4 linked regions of the Macaca mulatta genome follow. The main gene of each other region encodes a partner of the protein of the gene in region 4 in a complex. Links are inferred from orthologs where the notes say so. Each region holds a gene or a part of one and is shown on either strand. Other genes may lie near its edges. The genes, in order: SPIRE2, RAB11A, MLPH and MYO5A.

Region 1 (6,689 bases), on a different chromosome or scaffold from region 4:
GTGGATCACCTGAGGTCGGGAGCTGGAGACCAGCCTGACCAACATGGAGAAACCCCATCTCTACTAAAAATACACAAATAGCCAGGTGTGGTGGCACATGCCTGTAATCCCAGCTAGTCGTGAGGCTGAGGCAGGAGAATCACTTGAACCTGGGAGGCGGAGGTTGCAGTGAGCCGAGACTGCGGCATTGCTCTCCAGCCTGGGGAACAATAGCGAAACTCCGTCTCAAAAAAAAAAAAAAAAAAAAAATTCAAACATGAGAGAATTAAAATTTGGACACTACATCCTCAGAAATGATCCCTGCTAGTAATGGTTTCCATCCTCCAGGCTTTTCCAAGTATATATCAACAGAAATATATATAATTTTACAGATAAAATGAGGTGATTTTTTTTTTTTCCCAGACAGGGTCTTGCTCTGTCACCCAGGCTGGAGTACAGTGACACCATCATAGCTCACTGCAGCCTTGACCTCCTTGGCTCAAGTGATCCTCCTACCTCAGCCTCCCGAAGTGCTGGGATTATAGGCGTGAGCCACCATACCCAGACTTACTTTATTTATTTATTTATTTATTTATTTGCGACAGTCTCCCTCTGTCACCCAGGTTGGAGTACAGTGGTACTATCTCAGCTCACTGCAAGCTCCACCTCCCAGGTTCAAGCAGTTCTCCTGCCTCAGCCTCCCAAGTAGCTGGGACCACAGGCGCCCACCACCACGCCCGACTATTTTTTTCTATTTTTAGTAGAGACGGGGTTTCACCATGTTGGCCAGTTTGGTCTCAACCACCTGACCTCGTGATCCGCCCACCTCAGCCTCCCAAAGTGCTGGGATTACAGGTGTGAGCCACCACGCCCCGCCCCAGCCTTACTTTTTTATTCAGTCTGGGAAACTCTAGCTTTTACTTGGGTTGTTCAGATCATTTACAGTTAATGTGATGCTAGATAAGTTGTGTTTAAGTCTGACATCTTGCTATTTGTTTTCTTTTTGACTCATTTATTTGTTCCCCTTCTTTTCCTACCTTTTTTTGGATTAATTAATATTTATGGTTCCATCTTATCTCCTTTGTTGGCTTATTAGCTGTAACCGTTTTATTTTAGTGGTTGCTTTAGGACTTACAGTATACATCTTTAACTTATCACAGTCTACCTTTAAGTAATATTTGTATTGCATATATAACACCTTACTATACCTTATCATAGTGATTCACCTTATCATAGTGAACATAGTGTACTTCTGGCCGGACGTGGTGGCTCACGCCTGTAATCCCAGCACTTTGGGAGGCTGAGGCGGGCGGATCACGAGGTCAGGAGATTGAGACCATCCTGGCTAACACGGTGAAACCCCGTCTCTACTAAAAATACAAAAAACTAGCCGGGCGAGGTGGCGGCGCCTGTGGTCCCAGCTACTCGGGAGGCTGAGGCAGGAGAATGGCGTGAACCCGGGAGGCGGAGCTTGCAGTGAGCCGAGATTGCACCACTGCACTCCAGCCTGGGCAACAGAGCAAGACTCCATCTCAAAAACAAAAAAAAAGAAGTATACTTCCAATTTTCTCCTCTCCCTGGCCTTAATGCTAACTATTGTTATCAACACTACTTATACGTGTGTTACAGAACCCACAATACATTGTAATTAATTTTGTCTTTTTTGCCTGCCTGGTAATCTTTGATTAGATGCCAGACATTTTATCTTGCTGAGTACTGCTTTGTTTTTTTGTTTGTTTTTAAAAAAGTCTTGTTCTTGAGCTTTGTTCTCAGAATCAGTTAAGATATCTGTGAACAGTTTGATCCTTTCAGGTCTTGCTTTTATGATTTATCAGTCAGGCCTGGAGCAACACTCACTTTGGGCTACTTATTCCACATTAGTGAGGCCAGGCCTTCGTGTGCATTCTGGTGAGTGCCCTGTGAATCACGACATTTCTGGCTGTGGCTGATGGAAACGGATGTTATTCATTCCTGGCCCTGAGCACTGTTCCTTCAGATCTTTATAACAAGGGAAGGTAAATTTTTTCTGTAAAGGGCCAGAGAATAAACCTTTTAGGCGTGGCTGAGCGAGTAACAAATGGGTGTGGCTGTGTTCCAACGAGACTTTACTCGCCAAACAGGCGGAGGACCAGATTGGGCTATGGTTTGTCAATCTCTGCTTTAGGAGAAATGTTTTGCAGCCTTCAGTCATTTCCTTCAGAGAGGGGGCCCTTCTCTGAGGCTTTCTCGGCGCAGCCCTCTCCTCCGGAGTTCTGCATGGGGGATTCAAGCTGCTGTGGTCTCCCTGGATTTCCTCCTTTCCGGGAGTCTGGCGGCTGTGGCTCATGGCCGAGAAACTCTCCAGACAATGACTGCGGTGATGGCAGGCCTGCCCTGTTGTGTTTCCTTTTTGTTGCCTGCTGTCCAAAGTCTTGAAAAACATTGTTTCATATCCTGTTTGTTCTGGGCTGTAGAAGATGCCGATTACCCCATCTTGGCTGAAACTGGGAGTTGCTTAGCTATTTAAGTTTCATTTAATTTAAATAAAATTTAAAATTTAACTCCTCATTCAACTAACGATATTTGTGGACTCATCAGCCATGGAACATGCTAGAACATTCCTGGAGTCACAGGAAGTTCTGTGGGCAGCACTGCCCAGAGGCTTCTCACCTCCTCCTCCCCTTGTGAACTGGCAGCTAAAGGGAAGGCTCACCTCTTGCAGAAGAGACAGGTGGGCGGCCACGAGAACAGCGGGAACTTGGCCCGGCAGCAGCAGCAAATCTGTCAGGAAAGACCTGATTAGAGCCCGGCTTTGTCCAAAGCTCCCTGGGTCCTGCCCTGTCCTTGCTGCCCCTCAGGGTTCCCAACCAGATCATGAGCAAACAGTCCTGGGATCCGCCCCCGACGCAGCGGGCAAGAGAGCAGCCCCACGTCTAGGCAGCCTCACCTTCCCCTTCTTCAGACTGCTGAAGAGCTCCTTGTTCTGCAAAAACTTCTCCATCTCGGCCTTCACCAGCACACGGCGCACGTCCATCACCTCTTCCACGGTCAGCGCAAGGCTCTCCACGGGGTGGCTGAACTCCTGGGGGACGGGGCAAGGGGCTGTGCTCACTCGGCCTCAGGTAGAAAGTCTTCCATGCAGGAGTCTCCCCCAGCTTGCTCTCCTTCCCTGAGGACCCTCACGCCTTCCTGGCCTCAGCCTAAACAAGCCCGCGACCTTCTAAAACACTTGTCCGTCAGCCATCCATCCCCGTGTCTTTGATGAGGCGCTACTGCTGCAGGCTAGGCCTCCCATGACCAGCGGCCCCTGCCAGCCAACCCAGCCTTCACTGGCCACGCTCCACACACACTCCCCTCAGCCCATGTTTGTTCAAGGTGTCCCTCCCTGCAAACACACTATGGGCAGATCCACACCAGCCAGAGTCCATCTCAAATCCTCCCTCCCTGAGCAGCTGATGTCCTCTCATCCGGGAGGTCCAGGAGCCTCCAACAGACCACCTCACTCCTGGGGCCCAGCTTGCATCTGCCCATCTGCACTCAGCACACCTCCTGTGTCCTGACCACCAATTCCTGGGGCCACATTATGATGAGTGTGTCCTGTTTTTGCCTCCCTGTGCTTGGCATAGAACTTGACACCTGATCTCTCTAAGCCTCAGTTTTCTCTTCTGTAAAACGGGGCTGGATTTCAGCTCCATCGAGATGACTCATGCCGGCATCGCGTTTGCAGTGTCAGTCATTACTCTGCCGAGGCAGGTGGGCACCGTCTATGAAGGTGCCACACGGATGGAGTTGGACCATGTGCTCTGCTTTGGATTTGCAGTGGGTTATCCTGTCTAGAGCTGGGAACACATGCTCCTGTCTGGCACTGGGAGGAGCTGCGGCCCTTGCATTTGTTCCTCACTATGACCTGAGGCACCCAGAGCTTTGGGCTTCTGTTGCCAATTGCCTGATGGTGCTGTTTCCAGCTGAACAGGTCACCTGAGATGTCACAGATGTTACGCCAACAACGTCCGTGGCCAGGAGACCTCACGTCGGGTGCAGAGAACAGCTGCCTGCCCCCCAGGTGAGGCTGTGAGCCCAGGGCAGATGGAAGGCCAGGTTCGGTGATGCTCAGTAGCCCCCCTTCAGAAAGCACTTCTGAGACTTCAGAGCTAAAGAACCACTCATGTGACCTGTGGTCATCTTAAATGCGTCCTCTAATTCCTTAAGAAGTGTTGGCCGGGCGCGGTGGCTCAAGCCTGTAATCCCAGCACTTTGGGAGGCCGAGACGGGTGGATCACGAGGTCAGGAGATCGAGACCATCCTGGTGAACATGATGAAACCCCGTCTCTACTAAAAAATACAAAAAACTAGCCGGGCGAGGTGGCAGCGCCTGTAGTCCCAGCTACTCGGGAGGCTGAGGCAGGAGAATGGCGTGAACCCGGGAGGCGGAGCTTGCAGTGAGCTGAGATCCGGCCACTGCAACTCCAGCCCGGGAGACAGAGCGAGACTCCGTCTCAAAAAAAAAAAAAAAAAGAAGTGGGCCTTAATTCCCTCCCTCCCATTGAGAATAGGCTGGACTTCCTGACTCGCTGCTAATGAGTTGGGACAACGTGGCACTTCTGGACTTGGCCACAAATACTCAGTGGCTTTCACGGCGGTCACTCTTGAGCCACATGCTCTGGGGGATGCCAGCCGCCACCCTGTGGAGATCGCCAAGCAGCCCCGAGAGAGGCCTGTATACACAGCAGGGCACTCGCGTCTCCTGCTCACAGCTGGCTGAGGACGCCACTTCATGTGGTTCCTCCAGCTCCCATTTGAGCCTTCAGTCGAGACTGCAGGCCCCACTGCCATCCTAACTGCAGCCTCACGAAAGACCCTGGGCCGGAGCTACACGGCGAAGACACTTCCGGAGTCCCAACCCTCAGAAACTGTGTGAGATAATACATGTTTGTTATTTTAAGATGCTACATTGTGAGGTAACTTTTGATGCAGTGATATATAGCTAATCTTAGACTAATGAGGCAAGCCCTGCATTTCGGCGGGGCCTGCGACCTAGACTAACGGGGCAAGCCCTGCGTTTCGGTGGGGGATACGAACAGTGCCTTGCGTTTATATAAGGCTCATAGTTCTCAAAGCATTTTAACATCTGTTCTCATCTGAGCCTCTTGATAAAACCTCAACTAGCGGCAGCAACCACACCGTTCACATCCCTCCAACACCTGCATGCTGCCAGCATGGCCCACGGGCCGCACACTCGCCTTACCTCAGTTGATTAAATGATACACTAGAACTCACGTCCACGTGGCCTCAAGATGTCAGCAAAAGTGAGCTCCTCACAATTACAGGTCAGATATGAAACCGAGGGGAGAGGGGCTGAGCAGTACCCTGGCGGCGTCACGGCCAGAGTCAAGGTCGCGACCCAGTGAAGCCCCGTCACACTGACCTCCAGGCACACAGGGCGCGCAAGTTCGCCGCCTGCCCTAACCCCACACTGAACCCTTCAATTCGGGACGTCCCTTGCAAGGTGGCTCCAGGATCCGGGGTCGCAGTGCGGTTCGGCCCCAGCAGGCGGCAGCAGAGACCACTGCCGCAGGCCAGCAGCGCCACCACTGGCGCCCCGAAGACGTTCAGACCACGCCCCCCAGACCGGCGCTCAGACCACAGTCCCCAGACTGGCGCTCGGACCACGCCCCCCAGACGCGCTCAGACCCGCCCTCCCAGACAGGCGCTCAGACCACGCCTCACAGACTGGCGCTCAGACCACAGTCCCCAGGCAGGCGCTCAGACCACGCCCTCTGAGACAGGCGCTGAGACCACGCTCCCCAGACAGGCGCTTGGACCACGCCCCCCAGACAGGCGCTCGGACCACGCCCCCTGAGACAGGCGCTCGGACCACGCCCCCCAGACAGGCGCTCAGACCCGCCCTCCCAGACTGGCGCTCAGACCACGCCTCCCAGACTGGCGCTCAGACCACAGTCCCCAGGCAGGCGCTCAGACCACGCCCTCTGAGACAGGCGCTCGGACCACGCCCTCTGAGACAGGCGCTGAGACCACGCTCCCCAGACAGGCGCTTGGACCACGCCCCCCAGACAGGCGCTCAGACCCGCCCTCCCAGACAGGCGCTCAGACCACGCCCCCCAGACAGGCGCTCGGACCACGCCCTCTGAGACAGGCGCTGAGACCACGCTCCCCAGACAGGCGCTCGGACCACGCCCCCCAGACAGGCGCTCGGACCACGCCCTCTGAGACAGGCGCTGAGACCACGCTCCCCAGACAGGCGCTCGGACCACGCCCCCCAGACAGGCGCTCGGACCCGCCCTCCCAGACAGGCGCTCAGACCACGCCCCCCAGACAGGCGCTCGGACCACGCCCTCTGAGACAGGCGCTGAGACCACGCTCCCCAGACAGGCGCTCGGACCACGCCCCCCAGACAGGCGCTCGGACCACGCCCTCTGAGACAGGCGCTGAGACCATGCTCCCCAGACAGGCGCTGAGACCACGCCCTCTGAGACAGGCGCTGAGACCACGCTCCCCAGACAGGCGCTGAGACCACACCCCCCAGACAGGCGCTCAGACCCGCCCTCCCAGACAGGCGCTCAGACCACGCCCCCCAGACAGGCACTCGGACCACGCCCCCCAGACAGGCGCTCAGACCACGCACCCCAGACACTGCTCAGACTATGCCTCAGGCAGGGCCTCAGTACTGAACACCTGGCTGGCAACGGGAAGGTGGGCGCAAAGACGCCTCC
Region 2 (7,329 bases), about 13 Mb from region 4:
GGGCAAAGATGGCGAAACCCCCTCTCTACAAATAATACAAAAATTAGCCAGGTGCGATGGTGCACACCTGTAGTCCCAGCTGCTTGGGAGGTGGAGGTGGGAGAATTGCTTGAGCCCAGGATACGGAGGTTGCCGTGAGCCGACATCGCACTACTGCACTCCAACCTGGGTGACGCGGCAAGACCCTGACTCAAAAAAAAAAAAAAAAAAAGGAAAAAGAAAAAAGTCAATGCATTCATAAATATTTATTATGTTCCATGCACACTGTTAACAGCTATACATATGTTACTTAATTCCTTCTTCCTGTTTGTCCCCATTTTGCAGATAAGAAACTGGGATTCAGCAGGATTAGATAAATTATTGAAATTGACACAGCTTTAGTGAATGACTGAGCTGAAGTTTAAACACAGCCTTATCAGTCCTCACTTTGTTTTTAACAAACATGTAAGGTTACCTCCCCAGATGTGGAGGGTGAGATATATTTCAGGTCTTGCTTCTCCCACAGTCTAAGGCTAGGCATTTCTAAATTTATAATTCCAGGCTTTTTACTAGACAGTTCCTTTTTATTTTCTTACCAACTGTATTAGTCCAGGTTCTCTAGAGGAACAGAATGAATAGGATAGACATATATATATATAAATGGGAGTTTATTAAGTAGTATTAACTCGCACAATCACAAGGTCCCACAATAGGCCTTCTGCAAGCTGAGAGGCAAGGAAGCCAGTTTGAGTCTCAAAGATGAAGAACTTATAGTCCAACATTCGAGGGCAGGAAACATCCAGCACGGGAGAAAGATGTAGGCTGGGAAGCTAAGCCAGTCTAGCCTTTTCATATTTTTCTGTCTGCTTTATATTCGCTGGCAGCTGATTAGATGGTGCCCACCCAGGTTAAGGGTGGGCCTGCCTTTCCCAGCCCATTGACTCAGCTGTTAATCAGCTCACTGCGACCTCTGCTTCCCGGGTTCAAACGATTCTCGTGCCTAAGCCTCCAGAGTAGCTGGGACTACAGGCGCCCACCACCACGCCCGGCTAACTTTTTGTATTTTTAGTAGCGACGGGGTTTCACCTTGTTGGCCAGGCTGGTCTTGAACTGTTGACCTCAGGTGATCCACCCACCTCGGCCTCCCAAAGTGCTGGGATTAAGGCGTGAGCCACCGTGCCCAGCCCTTTTTCCACTTTTAAGTACTCTTACGACAACACTGGGGTCACCCAAATAATCCAGGATAATATCCCTAATTTAATGTCAGCTGATTAGCAACCTTAATTTCATCTGTAACCTCAATTCCCCTTTGCCATGTAACCTAACCTATTCAGTCTCTGGGAATTGGGAAGTGGACATCATTGGCAGGTGGTATTCTTCTGCTTGTTCTAGGCACACTTGCCCACAAGTCTAAATCGAGAGTTTGCATATAGGAGGTAGGAGGTGTGACAATAATTGGATAAAGGCTTTTCTGGAATTACAAAATTCTCTTCAAATACAGGGAGGCCCTGCGGCATGATATCTGGCAAATCACTTGAGTCTTAGTATCCAAATTTCCGCTAAAATGGAAATTGCCATCCTTTGCTCGGCATATTAAATGAAATACTTATGTAAACGGACTTAGATTAGAGGCCTACAAATAGGACTCAAGTTCTTGATGAATCTTGATGAGGAGGGTGGGCGAAGTACTCTAAATGAAAACGAGATAGACTGAGAGATTTCCGGAGAGGAGTGAGTGACAAGCGCCTACCCGTGCATGAAGCTGGAGGTAGAAAATTCCAGCAAAAGGAATTTTCAAGTTTCATTGAAGCTTCTGAATTAAAGTTTGAGGGGCCAGGGTTAAAAAAAAAAAGGTAGTGAAGAGGCTCATTAAGACAACCCCCGCCAGGTAGCAGATAGTACCTCAAATGCAGTGGGAAATTTGTGAGTTCTTCATAGGCAAGGATTAAATTTTACATCTCCATGTTAATATATGTCATAGTTGTTCAATTACTTAGTGAACAAAAAAGTTGTTAAGGAAAAAAAAAAGCACCAATGCAGGTTCCACCGAGATTTGAACTCGGATCGCTGGATTCAGAGTCCAGAGTGCTAACCATTACACCATGGAACCGCCACGCATATGTAGTTGCCTTCGGCTCTCTGATCCTTAGACAACCCCGCCCCCATCCACAAACCCACCACTCACAGGCGGTCCCGCCCGGTTCCAGCGAGTCGCTTCCGGGCACGGTAGCTCGAGAAATAAGCAAGAGGCCACTAAGACCACGGTAGCTAGGAATTCCAGGACTCAGTTTCCCCTTTGAGCCTCCTTTAGCGACGAAAGTTTGAAGCCCCACGCATCGCGACTCTCGTGCATACCGCCCTTCTTGGGTTCAGGGACGGGGAGCCGCCCCCGGAAGTACTTCCCCTTAAAGGCTGGGGCCTGCCGGAAGTGGCGCAGCGGCAAGGAGGGGCTCTTCACCCAGTCCGGCAGTTGAAGCTCGGCGTTCGGGTTACCCCTGCAGCGACGCCCCCTGGTCCCACAGATACCACTGCTGCTCCCGCCCTTTCGCTCCTCGGCCGCGCAATGGGCACCCGCGACGACGAGTACGACTACCTCTTTAAAGGTGAGGCCATGGGCTCTCGCACTCTACACAGTCCCCGTTCGGGGACCCGGGACACACTCGGCGGACGTGCCGGCCACCCGTGCACTGATAGAGGCCTGCCTCAGCCCTTCCTTTTTGTGTGGTTCCGTCTCCTACCCAGCTCAGCTTCTCTCCTCCTCAGACAGGGGTCCCCATCACATGCCGCTCTCTGAGCGACCTCTCCGTGGGCCTTGGCTGGCCTCACAGCCCCTCCCTGCGTGTCCTTCCCCTGGCGGACTGCCTTCTCGCATATCGTCGAATTCCTTTCCCTGGGTTCTGCGGCCCCGCCGCCCCTCCCACCATCTCTCTTTTCGGGTGTAGCGCCCCCTCCCCCTCAGCGTACACCTTTCCCGGCTGGCGTCCTCTCCCGAAGCCCCTGTGACGGGTTCTTCGCTTCCCTCTTGGCCTTGCCTTCGGTGCAGACTCCCACTACAGGTCTTTTCTTATCTGCCCCCTTTCCCCCTCGAGCGAGCCTCTTTTCTGCATATCTCCTCCCCTTGTTCGGCCCCCCCTCTAAGCTTCTCGCATCCCGGGTCCAGGACCCGGTAAAATCTGAGCGGGCCAGGGGTCCCCACCCCCACCCTCCGCCCCGCGGTTCTCGCGGTCCTTAACCTTCTCTGACCGCTCCCTCCCCCACTCCCCATTTGGCAACTCTCTCTACCTTCCCTCCCCAGATCGTGTTTAGAGCTCCCTGGTCTCCGTTGCGACCCGGGTGGTGGGAGGGTAAGAGGGATCGACCATCACCCAGTCGCGCACTTGTCGCAGTGACCCGGCAGGCTGACATTACTTCCCACCTAGCCTTTTATTATCTTGCTCTCCCTACTCAGTGGCACACAACCCGGGATAACTCTTTACTCGGTTCGCGAGAAGAGGTTGCGGATGGGTGGTGGCTGTTATCCTTGCCAGACCTGAAGGCCCGGTTCCTGAGCAGGAAAGGTTGTGCGCTGCACAAATACTAGCTTGCTTTATCTCTATGGACTGGTTGCTTCCTGCTGCAACACTGGGAGGATCCAACAGGAAGGGAAGAGCCCTAGTTGGCCACATACCTTTCCCAAAAGGTTGGGGGTAGGAAGGAAGTTGTGTGCTCTTTTGGTCACATTAAATATTTATTATAAGGTACGGAAACATGTAGTGCCCTTGGATAGAACATATCGGAGGGTCAGGGTTGGTTAGAAAGAATTGCTTATTGGTTGAGTCCGGAAGGAATCCAATTTTTTTTTTTAGTCAACGAAGATAAAGGGTACATTTTTCAATAAGAAGAAAGTACAGTAGATGCTTTTATTGTTCAGTGAATGTACTCTCACTCTGATGCTCTTTCTCTGCTCCTGAATTGGGAAGGTAGCCATCAGTAGTGTGCTGAACAAAGATCATTACCACTGAGGAAGAAGCCATTGCTATTAAAGCTTTACTGTGGAGGGTGGAGTTTAAAGAGTGTTAAGCATGGTGACTGTTTCTGTCTTTGCCATTGGGTGCTAAGAATGATTGACTAAACCAAGCAGGAAAGATTTGTTTGCTTTCCCAATACTTTGCAAATCTTGTTATACTAGCCTGCTGTTGTACTCTTGTCGTCTCTTACGCCTCTGACCCAGAATATTCTATTGTATAGGGTGAATACTTTTGGTATCCCCCCTCCACCCCATGCTGGAAAGTACTTTCAGGGTACTTAGTTCATTTTACAAATACAAAACTCAGACCTGGATTACAGAAAGTATACTATAGCATACGTTTTGCCGAAGGTATCTGAGATGATGTGAAATTATTTGAATCTCTTGAGACTTTGGGGTTAAAGGGAGGTTTGTGTTTTAAAATATGGTATAATGGTAGTGTGCCTTTATAAAGGCTGTCTTTGAAGTAATTAATTCAGAACAAGATAGACCGTCAGGGTATTTCTCCTATTTGGTTTGAACTGGAATGTTGGTTATACAAGGTCCTTTTATTTTTTAACAAAGAATATTAAATATTCTGAATTGGCCTAAAGTATTTCAGCTTTTTGATTAGACCATCCTTCTAGCAACGATTGAGAGCACCGAGCTTTGGAATTAACGTAGATTTCGGTTTAGATCCTGACTCAGGTCTTATATTTACTATATGACCTTGGAAAAGTTAACTTTTCTGAGTCTCAGTTCTCTCATTTATGTAAAGGAAAATACCTGTCTCTTAAGATTGTTGTGAGAGTTAAATGAGACTATTTGTAAAATTTTAACCATGAGGACTCAATAAATGGTAATAATGTGAAAGAAGTTACTGTGGTTTTGTCAGTTTTTTTTTTTTTTTTTTTTTTTTGAGACAGGGTCTCGCTCTGTCCCCCAGGCTGGAGTGCAGTGGCACAATCAAGGCTCACTGCAGTCTCGGCCTCCTCAGGCTCAGGTGACCCTCCCACCTCAGCCTCCCTAGCTACTCTCTAGCTCCTAAGAGTAGCTGAGACTACAAGAGTGCAGCACCACGTCCAGCTAATTTTTTTTTTTTTTTTTGTAAAGACAGGGTTTTGCCATGTTGCCCAGGCTGGTCTCGCACTCCTGGACTTAAGCAATCCACCTGCCTCAGCCCCCGCCAAGTGCTGGGATTATAGGCGTGAGCCAGTGTGCCTGGCCTTTGTCGGTTTTTTGAACCTTAAATGTAGGTTCAACTACAACAGCGTTTAAATATTATTAAAAAAACATAAAACTGGAAACTTCTAATGCATTTTATTTTTCCATGGGTTATGGTTTCATTTTGTTGTGCATTTTGCTGTTTAAGATAGGGTATTAAAACTTCTGCTGAGGAGGATTTCTACTTTTTTGTTTTTGAGATGAAATTTCGCTTTTGTTGCCCAGGCTGGAGCTCAATGATGCGATCTTGGCTCACTGTAACCTCTGCCTCCTGGGTTCAAGCGATTCTCCTGCCTCAGTCTCCCGAGTAGCTGGGATTACAGGCATGCACCACCACGCCCGGCTAATTTTGTATTTTTAGTAGAGACGGGGTTTCTCCATGTTGGTCAGGCTGGTTTCAAACTCCTGATCTCAGGTAATCCACCTGCCTGGGCCTCCCAAAGTGCTGGGATTACCGGCATGAGCCACCGTGCCTGGCCAGATTTCTAATTTTTTAAAGCTCTTACAGGATATGAGTCACTTTTTTCTTTTTTTTTTTTTTAACTTCAATACTGATTATTTAGCCAATTTCTTATTTATACAAGTATCCTGCTTTAAAGTGAAGAATGATTTTATTTTAAAATAACTTTATTGTACAGAGATTTATTCACTGAGATGGACTGCAGCTGTTTGTACTTAGACTTAACCTAGCAAATGCAATAGTTGAGGAAATTGGAGTTAGTTTGTAACTAACAAGTTGAAAATAAAGGGATATTTTAATTAATAGGGGATGGAGTGGTCTAAATAGGAATGTAATGTGGGACGAGCAGTACAATTATTCTAAATTATGACCTTTATTTAAGCCCAATAGTGAGACTTTTGGTGGGAGGGAATTAGTTTTATTTTATTTAAACTTTTTATTTTTAAAACTTTAATTTTGTATTTACAAACAATGTGGTTAAGGCCCTGTGGGACGTAAGTAAGCATCAGTCATAATTTCTGTTTACAAATATTGTGTGGTAGGCACCAATCCAAAGTTACATTTTCTGAAAATACCTGGATACATAGTCTATTGCTTAAGACATTTTCTTTTCAATCACATTGGAAGTCAGTAGTAATTAACCGTCAGCTGATTGTCAGTATAAATTATCATGGAAACTTTGCTGTCTTGCATCTTGTTAGTAGTTTTTCTTTCACAAGTTTTGGTTGAGCAACTCAGATTCTGCTGAATCTGGAAAAACTTGTCTAGACTTGAGCCTTATTGTTTGCATTATATATATAATTCTTTCTCTCTCTCTCTCTCTCTCTCTCTCTCTATATATATATATATATATATATATATTTTTTTTTTTAGGCAGGGTCTCCCTCTGTTGCCCAGGCTAGAGTGCCATGGCACAGTCATAGCCCACTGCAGCCTCAAATTCCTGTGCTCAAGAAATCCTCCTGCCTCAGCCTCCCAAGTAGCTGGAACTACAAATGTACTCCACCATGCCTGGCTTCTTTTTTTTTTTTTTTAAGACTATCCTACTTACAGAAATAAAAATTTCTTTTTTGTGGAGATGGGGTCTCCCTACATTGCCCAGGCTGGTCTCAAACTCCTGGGCTCAAGGGATCCTCCCACCTTGGCCTCCCAGAGTGCTGAGATTACAAGCATGAGCCACTGTGTCCCACCTTGAATGCATTGTATATTAAAAACTTTTGAGGAGGTTGGACTGTATGAATATAGTTGAAAGAATAGAAATGTCTCGAAATTTATGAAAACCAGAATGAAAATTACCAGTTATTCTTTCAGGTGGTAACTTTTAGGGTTGAGGTACTGTCTTTGATGAATTATATTTTGGTCCAGTAAATTAGTTTGCAAGAGAAAGTATAAAACTAAATGTAGTTGAAGAAGCAGAAATTTTTAATTAAACAATGGATAATTAATATGTATATTCTGCTTTTATGCATTTAGCAGCTTGATATTTAGTATTAGGTATTTGCGATGATACTCAAATACGGTAGGTGTCTAGCTGATAACTTTTTTTTGAGACAGAGTCTTGCTCTGTCGCCCAGGCTGGGGTGCAGTGGCCGGATCTCAGCTCACTGCAAGCTCCGCCTCCCGGGTTTAGACCATTCTCCTGCCTCAGCCTCCCGAGTAGCTGGGACTATAGGCGCCCGCC
Region 3 (7,615 bases), on a different chromosome or scaffold from region 4:
TTCCCAGCACATGGCAGTTGCTTTTCTGTGCCTGAAGCTCCCTGGTGTGCAGCAGGCTATGCCAGGGAAGCCCTCAGCCCTTAGATGCTGCAGCTATAGACAGACCAGCTCTGCTCTGGGCACTGAGGCTTTGGGGAATATTTTGTTTGGATGACTGGGAGTTCTGTTGTGAGTAACTGAAAGTTTAAAAACCACCTCGTGATTTCAACAAGTTTTCCTTGAGGACTTGAACCTATTTTCTCAGGAACATCAGAGAAACGGTCCAATTTGTGTGCTTTCAGGAGGAAGTCTCAAAACCACCAAAAAGACTCAATTTTGCTTCTGAATTCTGGGAAGCATCTCCCATCAGTGCTGCTGACCATTTGGAAGTGTTTATCACAAAAATACTAACAAAACTTCCCCTGTGCTGGAGACGTACTTCGATTTCATTGCGCAAGAGGTTAATTATGAAAAGTTACATTTTCTGGGCAAATACCATTTAAAATAAAAATGTCTACAAAGCTCTCATGGAAGTCAGCGAAAATAGTCCCTGGCTTATGCCATAAAAATGGGGAAGGATAATTTTTTTTTTTTTTTACACCCACACCTCAACATTTCCATTCTCAAATGTAAAGAGGAGTGTTTGCAATATAGGAAGAGATTGCCCCAATGTCCTGGGAACATTCAAACTCTGTTCCTTTACAGTCAGATTTAGATTCTGGTCAAGAAATCCTTACCACGGAACTCATTTTTGATGCTTCCGCAGAGCACACACTTTCTGGTTTCTAAAGAATTGGAACAAAAAGTTATTATTTGATGCATGACTGGAGTTCATTCACTTTTATTTTTCATGAGTTCTGAAAAAAAGGGATCATAAGAAGAGCATTCACCGACGTTCTATTTTCAGAATGGATGGACAGTGTGACCATCAGCTGAGGCATTAGCATTCCCTCTCTTCTCCTAACGCAGAAGCCAAAATTCCAGGCCTCAGTTTGAGAAACTTAAATCGTGATATGTGAGGAAGAAAAGCAAAACAAAAGGAAAAACCTGCTTTTCTTATCTTGCAACCTTCTTAGAGCAGTCAGTGACCAGTAAGTGAATGGATAAAAAGATCACAGTACATCACAACTAATGTCCTAGAGGCTGCCTGGATACCTGTCCCTCCCTCTTTCTATCCCCTTTCAAATCTTGGTTTTGTTTCTTGTTTTTTGAGATGAGGTCCCAGTCTGTTGCCCAGGCTGGAGTGTGGTAGTGCAATCATGGCTCACTGTAGCCTCGACCTCCATGGGCTCAGGGAGGTGAGGGTAGAGAACATGCTAGACCCATGAGGAGTGCAGGGTTGCTCTGTGCCTGCCCTAGCTGGGTGAGGTGGGGGTGGGGGCTCCCAGAGTGCGTGTGTTGGGCAAGGGCAGATGCCACCCTGCTCTATCTGTTCCTTGTTCCATTTCTGTGTAGATAACGCCTGCTCACGAGGTTCCTGAACAAAACACTTCCCTTTAGTGCCTGTTCCACTGCTCAGATTCAATCATATTTTAACCACTGGAGACAGCCAGCCTTCCCCAGTGGTTTAATAGCCATAGTGGGGCAGAGGGAGGGGACACAGGGATTAACAGGCAGGGAGGAGAGAGTGGAGCTGGTTTTATAAGATGGATATCCCAGGCCCAGACCGCTGAATTCCAGTGGTGTGTCACCTTTATCCATTAAAGAGTTGAATTCATTTTTTGGCCAAATTGAAGGGAAATCAGGGTGGGGGCTCCTCCTGGATGAAGAATTGGCTTAAGTAGCTCTTCAGCTGGCTGCTCAGAGAGCCTTGGAACAATGGTGATTGTGGGTGATCACTTGCCTGAGCAAACAAACTGGCAAGCTAACGACAGCAGGAATGCCCTCTCTGACTCAGCCAAGGCGTGTCGTGGGTGTTATTCTTGCTGATAAAGGGGAGGTAGCAGAGATGACAACTGTGGTGCCTTCTGCCTTAATCCTTTGTGGCCATTTCCCGAATGCTGCTGTCCAGGTTGGCCTGTGTGGTTATTTCTGTAGGCGGGGCCCATCAGTAGGCACTGACCCCCAGCTCTCATCAGTGGCTAAATGAGCACATTTCCACCCAGAAGGGCCACTCCCTTCCCTACAGGTGAACCAGGCACATCTGTGCTGTAGCCACAAGGGTCTGGAATGGCTCCAGCAGCAACAGCACTGGGAGGCTGTTCTGCCCCTCAGCCACCTGCCTACCAAGCTGCCATCTCCTCTGCTCTCCCGGTTCTCTGGGGAGTTGGTGGTAAACCCCACTGATAAATGGACATGAGTTCTGCATTTGCTCCTAAAGCCTCAGTGCTAGTCTCTACAGCAAGGATGGGTCCCAGGTGAGGCTGCAGAAGGAGGATGGGTCCCAGGTGAGGCTGCAGAGGGAGGATGGGTCCCAGGTGAGGCTGCAGAGGGAGGATGGGTCCCAGGTGAGGCTGCAGAGGGAGGATGGGGCTGAGAGGTGGGAGCTGGGTTCCCATCCCAGTTCAGGCACAGCCAGCCCGGCCGCCTGGGACAGATGCCACTTCTCTCAGGGTCTTAGTTTCTCCATCTGTACCATGGACAATGGCTGAGCTCCAGGACCTCTCTGGCCCTCTCCAGCCCTGGATGATGCCAGGATGTTGAAATTGGGAGGGGGAGTGATGGCGTCAGGATAGTGGGGAGGAGTAGGGGCAAGGGCTGTTCCTCCAGAGGTTGCTTTGGAAAAGAACAAGATGGTTGGCCCTAGAAGGCTGCCCCAACCGCTGAGACTGGGGCTCACTTGAGCCGTTGTTACACTGCGGTTGAAAGGCACCAAATTCACTTTTCCCATTAGCCCACAGGGCTCTGGGACACTTCCGCCACCTCCAGCCCCTCACTGGGTACACATTCAGCTGGTTTTAATTTTCTCCAAGTCACTCATGCCATATTCAGCAAGACCCACTGACTCCCCATGTGTGTGCCTGGCACCGCCCCATGTTCTCTAAATGTGTCCTCAGTCAATCCTCTGAGGCACCTGCTGCTGTTCTCTGAGCCTGAGTGAGGGCCAGGAGCACAGTGACCCATGCCTGGTACTTAGATACTGAGGAGCACGGCCCTGGGCGGGGAGGGGGCTTGGCCCAGGAAGGCTGAGACCTTGCTGACCTCAGCTGAGTCCCAACAGTGAGCAGGTGGAGGGATGGGTTTCTAAGGACAGATGCAGGCCAGCTGAACCCGAGGCATCAATGTCAGCAGCGTGGTCGGCTAGTCCAGGAGCCTTTTCCTGAGACTTCACAGCCCCCAGCAATGCTGGCCTTTGCACCTGTGGGGAGCCTTGCTCTCCCCCGACTGTCATTTCACTCCCTCAGAAAGAAATATGTGAACAAGATACCAGTCACACCACCTAAAAACAGGGCCTGTAAAGGCCCCAACCCAAGCTCTGCGTGGAAGTGAGGTGGAGTTTTCAGTGCCAGTTAATGTCAGTGGGACGCGGTGTTAAAGCCTGTGGAATCTTCGGGGATTTACAAGTGAGATTCAGTTCCTGTAGGGACCTGGGGCCAGGGCCGGGACGAAGCCCACAGGTGCTCAGAGCTCACAGACCCTTCCCATATCTCTACTTCCCACAACTCCCTGGCGGGCCCAGGGAGTCTGTCTGCAAACAAAAGGTGATTCCAATAAAACAGCCTTTTAGATACCCAAAGGAAGCCGGGTGCCTCCTCCCATGCCAAGATCATCCGGCTTCTTCCTCACCGCAAGACCAGCTCCCGGGCAGGGAGGAAGCCTTTCCCCTGGGGCCAGCCTGCGTGGCATCAGCAGCCTTGGCCCAGTCTGCATGGCAGACTCGCAATGGAGGCAATGGAGCTTCCGATTAAAACCAACCGTTTTGCCCAAAATGGGGATACCCCACCACCCCACTCCCACCCGTGCCCGCACCCAGACCAGTCTGCTCAAAGAATCCAGGTGAAGCCTGGGGACTAAGGCTGGGTGGCTGGGAACACGCTGTCCTCACCAGCCTGGACCAAGGCAGGGAGGCTGGCGGCTGGGGGCGGTTTCATACCAGTGGGTCTGCACGCGACACCGCGCACTCCCCAAAGCCTAAGCCCTCAGTCCTGGGTGCCACCATAGCCCCGCTGTTCCCTCTTCTCGGGGCACTCACCGGACCCTCTCCGGGGGACGCTCAGTCCCTGGTCCAGCACCTGGGAGAGAAAGGAGGGTGACGAAGCAGGGCGTCAGGCCAGGGCGTCAGGTCAGGGCGCCGGGGCAAGGCTGGATAATGGGGGCAAGCAGGGCGCGGGGCGCAGAGCGGCTGGCTCGCGCCTGGATCTCGGGGCAGGCGGGCAGCTGGCCAGGTCCCGGCGCCTCCTGCCCGAACCACGTGGGCTGCGCCCCGCTCCGCCCAGCTCCGGGAGCGCGGACACTTCTGGATGCCCTGCCAGGCCGAGGGCGGGACGTTCACCTGGGACGCCCGCGCGGGAAGCGCCAGTGCGGGGGAGAGCCCCGGATACTCGCCCCCAGGTCAGTTTGGGGAGAAAGAGGGCGGCGGAGTGGGGAAGGTTCAGCACACAGCTGCGATTCCCGTGAGTTGCGGCGACTTTGCGTGGGTGACATTGTGCCGCGGTCCTGCCTTGGGCACGGTGGACCCGCTTGCTGAGCACGCTCTAGAACGCGCGGCACATCGTCGAAATTTCTAACTCTGCCAGGAGAGCGCTATTTACTTCGGCTTTACAGATGGGGAAACTGAGGCTCAGAAACGCGCCCTACCAAAGCCACCGACCAGTAAGTGGCAACGCCAAATAATAAGTGGGACTTTAAGCCCAGGGCTTTCTGCTGCAGAGCGCGTGCCCTTACCCCTTCGATTCTGCCAGGCATCAGGACCAGGAGGGTCCCGCAGCCTCAGGCAACCCCGCTGCGGGGTGGAGACCGAGGCCTTGCCCGCCAAGAAAAAGTCAAGATCCGTGGGCAAATGGGGCAGATGTGGAAGCCAGGACGCGCGGCACGGCGGTGCCAGGACCGAGGACGCGCTGCGGGGGATGCCTGGGAGCTCCGTGCGGCTGCGCTCTCCTCCTGGACTCTAGGGCCGGCCTTTGGGTGCTCAGTGGGGCCCGCGAACTCAGAGGGTCCCAAGGCGAGCCGCCATCTCCAGTCCGCCACGCCTGCCTGTCCTTCCGAGTTCCAGTGGACATTAGGGAATTGCCCTCCTCCCTCATCCTCCAGGACTGAGCGCTTCAGAACTTTCTCTCCCTCCTCCTCCCTCTCCCTTGTCATTAAAAACTTACATTCCCTTCTTCAGGAACTGCTTTTGCAATTCAGTTTCCGTATCTGCAAAATGATAGGAATAAAGCCATCAGGTGAACAGATACTACTATCTCCATTTAACAGAAGAGGAAACGAAACCTTACAGGATTGTTGTGATATCACATTAGATTATTTGTAAACAGCTTTCAAAAGGCTGCAAAAGAATAAAAAAGAATGTTGTTGCCTGCTGAGCCCTGGGGAACACTGTAGGTGAATCAGGGTATTTCAGGTCCCTGGGCTGCCTTGGGACAGGTGCTGTCACCAAACACCATCAATTGTTGAGTGTGAACCCTGGAATGGGGTGAAGCTTACACTGACGCCAGCGTTTCCACATCCCATATGATCTGGTGTTTGTGTTTTTCATTTCCTTACCTCCTTGCCATATGCCTTACTGTTGCCTGTAAGATTAATAAATCCCTTAAGAGTTGATGTGGGGACTTAAGTTCCTTAAGGGCAGAATTTTTTTTTTAAGTTTTTAATACTTTAGTGCTTATGTATTTGAACTAGTGGTTTTAAAAAATATACAACTGACACATGCTGATATATAAGGTATATAGTAAAGAATATAAGGAATATAAAATGAAAAGCCAATTTCTCTCTTATTCCACTACCAACCTCTACGACCTGAAAGCAATCATTATTAATGGTGTCTTGTGTATTCTTTCTGAATTGTGTGTGTGTGTGTGTGTCTGTGGTGAAGCATGTGGGCTCAAACCAACTGCAAGAGTCGGAATTCTAGCTAGGAGTGTGGCCCACAAGCTGTGTCATCTTGGACCTGTAACTGAATCTTTGGCCGACTTTTTTTCTCTCTTCTCCATGACGGGAATAGTAATGGGAGTTACACATAAGGGTGTTGTGGATCAATATCCCCGCAGCTTGGGTGAGACACCACGTGGTGAGTGCTTGGTAAATACTAATTACTATTTCTGTCGAGCCACTTCATCCTTTTTTGGTTGTAGAATATCCATTGTGTGAGTTACCATAATTACTTATCAGTCTTCTATTGATGGACAGTTAATTTTTGATTTTTTGCTATTTAAATGATTCTGCCATAAATATATCATTCTACATAATTCTTATTGACACCTATCATACATAGGATGACACATAAATATCATTGTACATACATACTGATATATCTGTAGACTAAAAGCCTACAGATTTGGATTTTCTGAGTCAAAGGATGTACACAATTTTAAGAGAAAATTCTAGAATTATAAGCTTTTTTTTTTTTTTTTTTTTTTTTTTTTTTTTTTTTGCTTGAGACAGAAGCTTGCTCTGTTGCCAGGCTGGAGTGTAGTGGCTTGATCTCGGCTCACTGCAACCTCCGCCTCCTGGGTTTGAGCAATTCTCCTGCCTCAGCCTCCCCAGTAGCTGGAAATACAGACGCATGCCACCACGCCCAGCTAATTTTTGTATTTTTAGTAGAGACAGGGTTTCACCACGTTGGCCGGGATGGTCTCGCTCTCTTGACCTCGTGATCCACCCTCCTCGGCCTCCCAAAGTGCTGGGATTACAGGCGTGAGCTACCGCACCTGGCCCTAGAATTATAAATATTTAAAATGGTTAAACAATCCTCAAATTACAGAAAGTTTCAATTATAACACGAAGAACCCTCCCTTCCCCTAGCCATTTGTGATGAATTTCTGACATGAAGGTTTAGTGTATTTTATACAAACAAGGACAACCTTCTATTAAACTGCAATCCAACCATCAACATCTGTAAATGATACGTTGCTATCATCTAATCATTGGAGTCCTTTCAAATGTTGCCAGTTGTCTCCGTAATTTTTTGTTGCAAAAGGATCCAGTTCAGAATCTCATGTTGTGTTTAGTTGTCATTTCTAAGTCTCCTTCAAATCGGATCAGTTCCTCTGTCTTTGACTCTCATGGCTTTGCTATCTAAATATTAAGCCACTTATTTTTTAGACTGTCTCTAAATTTGGGTTGGTCTGCTCTTTCCCATGATTATACGCAGGTTTTGCATGGTTGGGAGAATCTTGCAGAAGTGAGGCGGGGTCCTCTCCCTGTGTCCTGTCAGCTGGTGCATGGATACAGTATGTCTCCTTACTGCTGCTGTGATCTCCGGACTAAGGTGCTGTCTTCCAGCCTTCTCCACGGGCAGGTTACTCCCTTCCCCTCTGTAATTAATGTCTATTTTTGGAGGAGGGGTGTACACATTTAAAATTTCATAAGGCTGGGTGATGTGGCCATGCCTGTAATCCCGGCACTTTGGGCCAGAGGCGGGCAGATCACTTGAGGTCAGGAGTTCGAGACCAGCCTGGCCAACATGGTGAAACCATGTCTTTACTAAAATTACAAAAATTAGCCGGGTGTGGTGGTGCGTGCCTGTAGTCCCAGCTAC
Region 4 (7,351 bases):
AAAAGTAAACAAAAAAATTTAAACTTTTTAAAAATTAAAAATAAGCCAGGCATGGTGGCTCATGTCTGTAATCTCAACACTTTGGGTGGCCGAGGCAGGAGCATCACTTGAGCTGAGGAGTTAGAGACCAGCCTGGGCAACATAGCAAGACCCTGTCTCTATAAAAAGTACAAAAATTAGCAGGGTGTGGTAGCACGTGCCTGTAGATTCAGCTACCCGGGAAGGTGAGGTGGGAGGATGGCTTACGCCTGGGAGGTCGATACTGCAGTGAACCATGTTCACACTACTGGACTCCAGCCTGGACAACAGAGCAAGACCCTGACTCTAAATAAATAAATAAATAAATAAATAGGCTGGATGTGGGGGGCTCATGCCTGTAATCCCACACTATGGGAGGTGGAAGCAGGAGCATCACTTGAGTCCAGGAGTTTAAGACCAGCCTGGGCAACATACTGAGACCATCTCTAGAAGAAATTTAAAGATTAGCTGGGTGCATAACTGTGGTCCCAGCTACTCATGAGGCTGAGGTGGGAGGATAGCTTGAACCCAGGAGTTAAAGGCTACAGTGAGCCATGTTCACTTTCACTGCACTCCAGCCTGGGTGACATAGTGAGACCCTGTCTCAAAAAAAAAAAAAAATTAAAAAAAAAAAAATCAGCTTCAGGTAATCTTGACCATTCTACAGCATTTATGGTGCTATCCATGGTGTCTGGGAACATGATGAGAGGAGGAATAGCATGCCATTCATTATAATGCTGCCGGTAATCCTTCTAGGTCTAATTGATAAACCCCACTCCACAAATGTAGAATTGCTTCTAGTTACCAAAAGCACCTATGGGTGATATAAATATGCACTGACAAGTCAAGACTAGCAAATATTTTCAAAATCAGAAGCAATGACATATCATAGTTTCCTTCAATTTTTGAGGGAGTAAGGCAGGTTGACCCACAAACAAATCAACATACTACTGTGTGAATAAACCAAAAACCATTGAATAGTACACTTTAAATGGTGAATTATATGGTATAAGACTCATATCTCAATAAAGCTGTTATTTTTAAAAATCAACAAAACATGTTTCAACCAAAATATTAGTTTCCAGAAATGTATCCCAAGAACCTAGCTACTGCCCTGAAAATGTTTATACTGCAGGAAATTTTGACAAAATGGAAGCCTTGTTAAATTGCTGTGACAAAACCATTATCATTCTGGCTAAAAAGAAGAAACTGAACAGTCTCTTGTCCTTCACTGTAATAGGAACTGATCTGTATCACACATCAAAATCTGCCCTTAAGATCTGAATGACATTTTTTTAAAGGGTACTTTTCATATTTAACCACTATATTAAATACTATAATTATGGCATGTCACTAATACATCTTTCCTTGTAATCTATCCTAGAACTTCCTTCCTATAATCCTCTGCAAGGGGAAGATCCTTGTGCTTATCCACTGATAATACTTCTAATGATTTTCCTATTCCTCTAGTAATTACAATAGTAGCTTTTATTTCTGGAATCAGCCCAATCTTCCCCATGTCCCAACCCATTCCCTAACTTCTACTAATAAGGTTATTTATGTCCCTATAGATTCAAAGTGGGTCAAGAATGTAAGAAGCAGACTGTGAGCACGTTGAGGGAAAGGACTGTATCTTGTTCACTGTTATAAACATTAAGCAAAGTACCTGGCACACAGGATGCCAGGATGCCTGATAACTATTTCCGCTTGCCATTAAGCTAAGGCCCATTTACAAAAAGAATTAGCCAACAACCAACCAAGTAACCAGATTATTAATTAGGCATAAGTGTATTTAGAAAAAGGCAGTGTAAGCCCCAACTTCAGTCTTGCTCTCTAAGCCAGTCTGTTTTAAAATGAGAAAGAGGTTAAAAAGAAAAAAAATTTTTTTTGAGACATGTTCTTGCTCTTTTGCCCAGAATGGAGTGCAGTGGCACAATCATGGCTCACTGCAGCCTCAACCTCCCAGGCTCAAGCAATCTTCCTGCCTCAGCTGATCCTCCTGCCTCAGCTCGAGTAGCTGGTACCACAGGCGTGACTACAACGCCCAGCTCATTTTTTAATTTTTTTTTTTTTTTTTGAGACCAAGTTTCCCTCTTGTTGCCCAGGCTCGAGTGCAATGTGCAATCTCTGTTCACTGCAACCTCCGCCTTCCAGGTTCAAGCGATTCTCCTGCCTCAGCCTCCTGAGCAGCTGGGATTACAGGCATGCGCCACCACGCCCAGCTAATTTTCTATTTTTAGTAGAGACGGGTTTTGCCAAGTTGGTCAAGATGGTCTCGAACTCCTGACCTCAGGTGATCCACCCACCTCGGCAACGTGTTGGGATTACAGGCATGAGCCATCGTGACCAGCCTAATTTTTTAATTTTTTGTAGAGACCAGGTCTCACTATGTTTCTCAGGCTGTTAAAAGGTAAATTTTAAAATAGATTGTGATAAAGCTGTGACAGAAGCCCAAAACGTTACCATTTGCAAATCATAATATCTTTCCCATTTTTTCTCTCAAATCATCTTGGGGGGAAAAAGTGTTCAAAATCCAACAACAATTAATTATCCAATCAGTCTCTAGTTAAGCAGCTTACTATTAAGTAGCTCAAAGATGACTGCTCACCATATACAATGGGGGGTGTCCAATCTTTTGGCTTCCCTGGGCCACGTTGGAAGAACTGTGTTTGGCCACACATAAAATACACTAATGATAAATGATGAGCTTAAAAAAAAAATTGCAAAAAAAAAAAAAAATCTCATGTTTTAAGAAAGTTTACGAATTTGTGTTGGGGCACATTCAAAGCGGTCCTGGGCCCGGATGCAGCCCACGGGCTGCGGGTTGGACGAACTTGATGTAGAAGTGTAGGGGAGGGGCTACACAAAGTAACCAAGGAATGTTTACAGACCGATTATCTCTTCATGTGAAAATGATTTTGATATTTCTTAATATCAACCTCATAAGTCCCTTATAAGGATTATGAGTTCATATTTTTAAAACGCTTAAAACAGTACCTGGCACATAGTAAGCACCATATTAAGTGTCTGTTAAGTTACTTTTAATCAGTTTCCAATTGCATTCGTTCACACATCAGAGATCTGCAATGCCTAAAGAAATTACCAGGTTGAGAGAGAAGTTCCAATTGGACAGTCCTTAAACCTAAAACTAGAAAGAAAGAGGTCTCAGAGAATGTTTCATGCAAGTTCCTCATTTCATGGTTGAAGAAATTAATCATATTACCTCATATTTGCAGAGAAATTCATAGGTTACAAAAAGCTTTCACAACTATTATTAAGTTTAATTATCAGAACAGCTTGTAAGGGATGAAAGGCAAGTATAATTAACTCTATTTACTCATGAGGAAATCGAACCAGAAATGTTAAGTGACTTGTCCAAGGTCACAGTGAGTAAGTGAAAAGGTCCCGGCTTGAATCCAGGTCTCTCGATGCCCAGTCCAGAATTCTTTCCTCTGTAAAACACACTGCAACTTGGGCCCTGGACTTGAGTCACATTTGGAAACAATGATTCCAGTGATTACAGGACCCTAAATGAAAGTTCTATTGCAAATGCTAATGTGAAAAGGCAACTCTATTAACTGCATGTAGAAGTAATCAATAGTTGGCAAAATATCTACCTACACATGGGTGTATAGTATAAAATGCCATGATTACATATATTCACAAAGGTCATCACAAATCTGCACAGCACTCAAGTGACAGTTCTCCATAATAGGCCATTCAGAGATTGCCAGACCCTGAGAATATTGATGTCACTCTAAGAAAAGACTGCCACTTCCCTTAAAGCAAACCCAGAAGGAAAGGTTTGCCCCAGAGGATGTGAAGACACGGAGCCTAACAAGGCTCTGCGGGATTACACGCAGGTTGCAAACTCCCAGCGACAAATGAGTACCGACCCTCCCAGCCGGTGAATCAGCTCGCGTTCATCCGGCAACATCTTTCCCCGGGGCTCGCCACCCCCAGCGCAGCTAAACCGGGGAGCTAAAGGTGATACGGCCACCGTTTGCAGGATTCAAAATAACCTCACAGAAAGGCTGGCTGGCGGTACAAGCAGCACTGCATACCAACACAGGACGTTATTTTAAGCGCGTGTCCCCATGAGAGAAACCATCCGATCTACCGGAGCAAGCATCTCCCACCCGCCGGGAGTTTTCCAAAGCCAAGCAGGAGGTGAGGCACGCCCGCCCTGCTAAATCCACATGGGCCCCCTTTCCACTCGGAAGCCCGCTCTGCCCCCAGCTCCAGCAGCGCAGCAGGAGCCGGGGAGACCCCCGAGGCGGGCCTCCCTCCGTCGCCTTAACCATCTCGCCCGAAAGAGGAAAGTGCTGCAGCGGGCGACCGGCGGGTAGGGCCGAGGGTTCTGAAGCGCTGAAGAGGGTGGCGCTGGCCCCGCCGCTCCCGCCCCCTCCCCAGCCTGACAGCTGGCGGCAAGGGCCGCGCGGCCCCAGTCCTCCACGCCGGCCACGGGGCGCCTTACCTTTGTGTAGAGCTCCGACGCAGCCATGGCGGGCTCCGCGCGCCTACGCCCCCCGCCTGTGCGGAGGCCGCACCTCGCCTGGGCGGCCGTCCGCTCGGACTAGGAAGCGCCCGCAGCCGCCGGCGGGGAGCAGGGCAGGGCCGGGCGGGGCCGGGCGGGGCGGGGCGGGGCGCCTCAGGCGCTGGCGGCCCGCGGGGGCCTAGCCATCACTCCCGGGCTCGCGGCGAGCAGCCGCGAGCGCTCCACCTGCCCGGGGTCCTGGGGGTCGCCGCCGCCGCCGCCGCCGCAGCCACCTCGGCGGCCTGCGATGCTGCCGCCGCCGCCGCCGCCGCCGCCGCCGCCCTGTGCATTATGGGAGCGGGAGGAGGCTGCGCTCCAGCTGGGCCACCGCGGCTGCTCTGGGCTCTCTCAGGCTCACGCTGCCTCCCAACGGCTGCGAGCACAGAGCATCATCATCATCAGCCTGCCAGCCGGCGCCGCCGCCTCCCGCGCTACCGAGGCCCGGAAACCCGCCCGGGACACTGGCCCCGAGGGCGCGGCACACCCCGGGCGCAGGCCCCGAAGCGAGCCCGGGACTCTGCTGCGGAGCCTAGCCCCCGTGGTAGGGCAGCCATGGCGGGGGCCGTCACTGTGTCCGAGTAAACGATGGGAACCTCGAGGCTGCTCCTCCCGTCCTTCCAAGCATTCCTAGGGAGAGGATTTAGGGGAAGCCCTCTTGAAAGACTGTAGAATAACCCAGAACTGCAGAAGAGCCTTGTCAGCAGGAGTGACCCGGGAGATGGGCAATGCAGGACCGGGAATTTGAGGTTAAGGATGATCACCAAGGTCATTCCGAGCACCTCGATGTCTGCAGCAAAGCCGTGTCATCATGCCGGGAGGGCAGGAGCCGCTTATAAGCTACAGAAACTTAAGTGACTTTGAAACGAGATAGCCTCAGGGGACAGCCCAGGTGCCTCTTTCCTAGACCTGTGCGTTTGCAGAGATGCAGCTACCCTTCTGTCCCAGCCTTCTTTCCTGTCCTGTTCTCTCCTGGTGATTGTCGGCTCCATGGTGGCACCTGAAGTTTATCCCGTTGCCACCTGAAAATGACAGAGTACTTACATGGAAAATCTATCTGCAGTTTAACTCAGCATCAAAAGATCAAAGCCGCCCTCACTCTCCTCAGGGTGAGCCTTGCACATCCAGCACAAAAATGTGGTCTTTCTACTCCCAACCCTGCGCTGTCTTCACCCTCTATCTTCTCCCCACCCTCATTTTCGTTCCTGGTTGAATAATCTTCATTGTTGTTGTTGTTGTTGTTTGTTTAATCCCTGCCTCATCTCTGGTGTCTTTGAACTACAACTGGTCCCCAGTAGCCTGTTATAGTAATCTGGTAGACCATTTCTATCAAGACCAACTCTCATGGCTGGGGGCCCCGGTTGTGTGTGTTATGTGTGTGTGTATTTGGAGAAAGACCATTCATTCGCTGAAAGGAACAGGGGGCCAGTCCTTACTCCCTGGAACTCAGACCTCTCCTCTTCGCCCACAATCCCCACGGAAATGCTAGAGGGAATGGTTACAGAGTCGAAAGCCCTGCAGATTTGTCTCTGTTCCTTTCCATTGTAAAACCAAATCGCTTTCGTGTTTCTGGGACCCACCCTTTCTTCACCCAGACGTAAAAAGAGAAAACGTGTGCAGTGACGACCAGCGGAACGGAAGGAGCACTGGATTGAGATTTACGAGGCCTGGCTCCTACGCCTTGCAGTTTCTTCATGCCATGTGCAAGGTGGTAACCACTCTGCCTGTTTTCTCACCATCAGATAATACCTACCTCCCAGGACTGTTGAGAAATACTGAGTATACTGAGAAAATAAATAAATAAAAACTGGAAGAGTTCTTGTAGGTGTGAATGCTTTCTTCGTTTTCTTTTCTTTTTTTCAAGTGACAAGGAGAAAAAAGAAACGGGAATTATCCTCTTTTAAGTCCAGAACACATGCATTCAACCACTCAAATATTTGGGGCCATGCTAAAAGAAAGGTAATGGAGATGAGGAGGAGAAGAGTTTTGTTTATTTATTTATTTATACTGAGTCTTGTTCTCTCACCCAGGCTGGAGTCCAGTGGCACAATCTCGGCTCATTGCAACCTCTGCCTTCCAGGTTCAAGCGATTCTCGTGCCTCAGCCTCCTGAGTAGCTGGGATTACAGGTGCCCACCATCACGCCCAACAAATTTTTGTGTTTTTAGTAGAGACAGGGTTTCACCATGTTGTCCAGCTTGGTCTCAAACTCCTGACCTCAAGCTATCCGCCCGCCTCGGCCTCCCAAAGTTCTGCGATTACAGGAATCAGCCACTGTGCCTGGCCAGGTTTTGTATTCTTGACCTTACCTTACTTCCTTCAGAAAAAAAGCAGAGTAAAAAGTCAGAAGCAGCAAAGGGAAGCCCTGAGGGGTGGCCTCTGCTAACTTCCACGTATACATTCACAGTTCCAAGCACTCTGTCACTAGTGAGGTGTAGAAATCAGCAATAGATACAGCTTCCCAGGGTCTGGAATCCCTCTCTCAAAGAGTAGCTAGAGGGTAGTATATTTTATTTTACGTTGTTAAAGTTTTCCGTTATTGCTTTATTACTGGGAACATTTTTATGTAGATTGTTTTCAAATGAAAACAAGGTCTAGGTTTATATGAAAAATTCCATTCCTCATTTTCAACAAATATTGAGAGCTATCACATGCCTGACATTGTTCTACATGTTGAGAATTCATGCATGAGCAAAACAGATGAAGAGTCCTGACCCCATGGAGATTCCATTTTAATTAGGGAGAAAGGCAATGATAGAGTTAGAAGGTAAAGGTGGTAAGTGGTGTATTAGTTTCCTAG

The links.
Region 1: the proteins of MYO5A (region 4) and SPIRE2 are in contact, whole or in part, in a crystal structure (PDB 5JCY), measured with the Homo sapiens proteins. The link is inferred for Macaca mulatta from reciprocal best matches to the Homo sapiens genes MYO5A and SPIRE2. Residues at the interface, in NP_001369276.1 of Homo sapiens: Asp1551, Val1554, Arg1555, Thr1559, Ile1562, Asn1563, Lys1566, Ser1597, Gly1598, Leu1615, Thr1616, Asn1617, Phe1618, Asp1619, Leu1620, Ala1621, Glu1622, Tyr1623, Val1626, Asp1629, Leu1630, Gln1633; in NP_115827.1 of Homo sapiens: Arg404, Pro405, Arg406, Val407, Leu408, Leu409, Lys410, Ala411, Pro412, Thr413, Leu414, Met417, Glu418, Met420.
Region 2: the proteins of MYO5A (region 4) and RAB11A are in contact, whole or in part, in a crystal structure (PDB 5JCZ), measured with the Homo sapiens proteins. The link is inferred for Macaca mulatta from reciprocal best matches to the Homo sapiens genes MYO5A and RAB11A. Residues at the interface, in NP_001369276.1 of Homo sapiens: Ile1660, Gln1661, Trp1738, Met1742, Arg1745, Tyr1746, Ser1749, Gln1750, Glu1753, Arg1756, Gln1777, Gln1780, Val1781, Lys1782, Lys1784, Met1795, Glu1818; in NP_004654.1 of Homo sapiens: Arg33, Glu35, Ile44, Gly45, Val46, Glu47, Phe48, Ala49, Thr50, Gln63, Trp65, Gln70, Tyr73, Ala75, Ile76, Ala79, Arg82.
Region 3: the proteins of MYO5A (region 4) and MLPH are in contact, whole or in part, in a crystal structure (PDB 4KP3), measured with the Mus musculus proteins. The link is inferred for Macaca mulatta from reciprocal best matches to the Homo sapiens genes MYO5A and MLPH. Residues at the interface, in NP_034994.2 of Mus musculus: Asp1524, Val1527, Arg1528, Leu1531, Thr1532, Ile1535, Asn1536, Lys1539, Ser1570, Gly1571, Leu1588, Thr1589, Asn1590, Phe1591, Asp1592, Leu1593, Ala1594, Glu1595, Tyr1596, Val1599; in NP_443748.2 of Mus musculus: Lys184, Lys186, Arg187, Leu188, Leu189, Ser190, Phe191, Arg192, Asp195, Phe196, Glu197.

The regions. Positions count from the first base shown.
Region 1 is NC_133425.1:85,309,785-85,316,473, reverse strand, and holds the end of SPIRE2 (protein spire homolog 2), read right to left. Parts: intron 3,041-6,689; coding exon 2,906-3,040; intron 2,740-2,905; coding exon 2,672-2,739; intron 2,427-2,671; coding exon 1,904-2,426; 3' UTR 1,632-1,903; downstream 1-1,631. UniProt on the Homo sapiens protein: Acts as an actin nucleation factor, remains associated with the slow-growing pointed end of the new filament.
Region 2 is NC_133412.1:43,316,030-43,323,358, forward strand, and holds the start of RAB11A (ras-related protein Rab-11A), read left to right. Parts: upstream 1-2,425; 5' UTR 2,426-2,542; coding exon 2,543-2,582; intron 2,583-7,329. UniProt on the Homo sapiens protein: The small GTPases Rab are key regulators of intracellular membrane trafficking, from the formation of transport vesicles to their fusion with membranes.
Region 3 is NC_133417.1:142,719,724-142,727,338, reverse strand, and holds the start of MLPH (melanophilin), read right to left. Parts: upstream 4,491-7,615; 5' UTR 4,112-4,490; intron 1-4,111. UniProt on the Homo sapiens protein: Rab effector protein involved in melanosome transport. Serves as link between melanosome-bound RAB27A and the motor protein MYO5A.
Region 4 is NC_133412.1:29,823,156-29,830,506, forward strand, and holds the start of MYO5A (unconventional myosin-Va), read right to left. Parts: upstream 4,896-7,351; 5' UTR 4,523-4,895; coding exon 4,496-4,522; intron 1-4,495. UniProt on the Homo sapiens protein: Processive actin-based motor that can move in large steps approximating the 36-nm pseudo-repeat of the actin filament. Can hydrolyze ATP in the presence of actin, which is essential for its function as a motor protein. Involved in melanosome transport.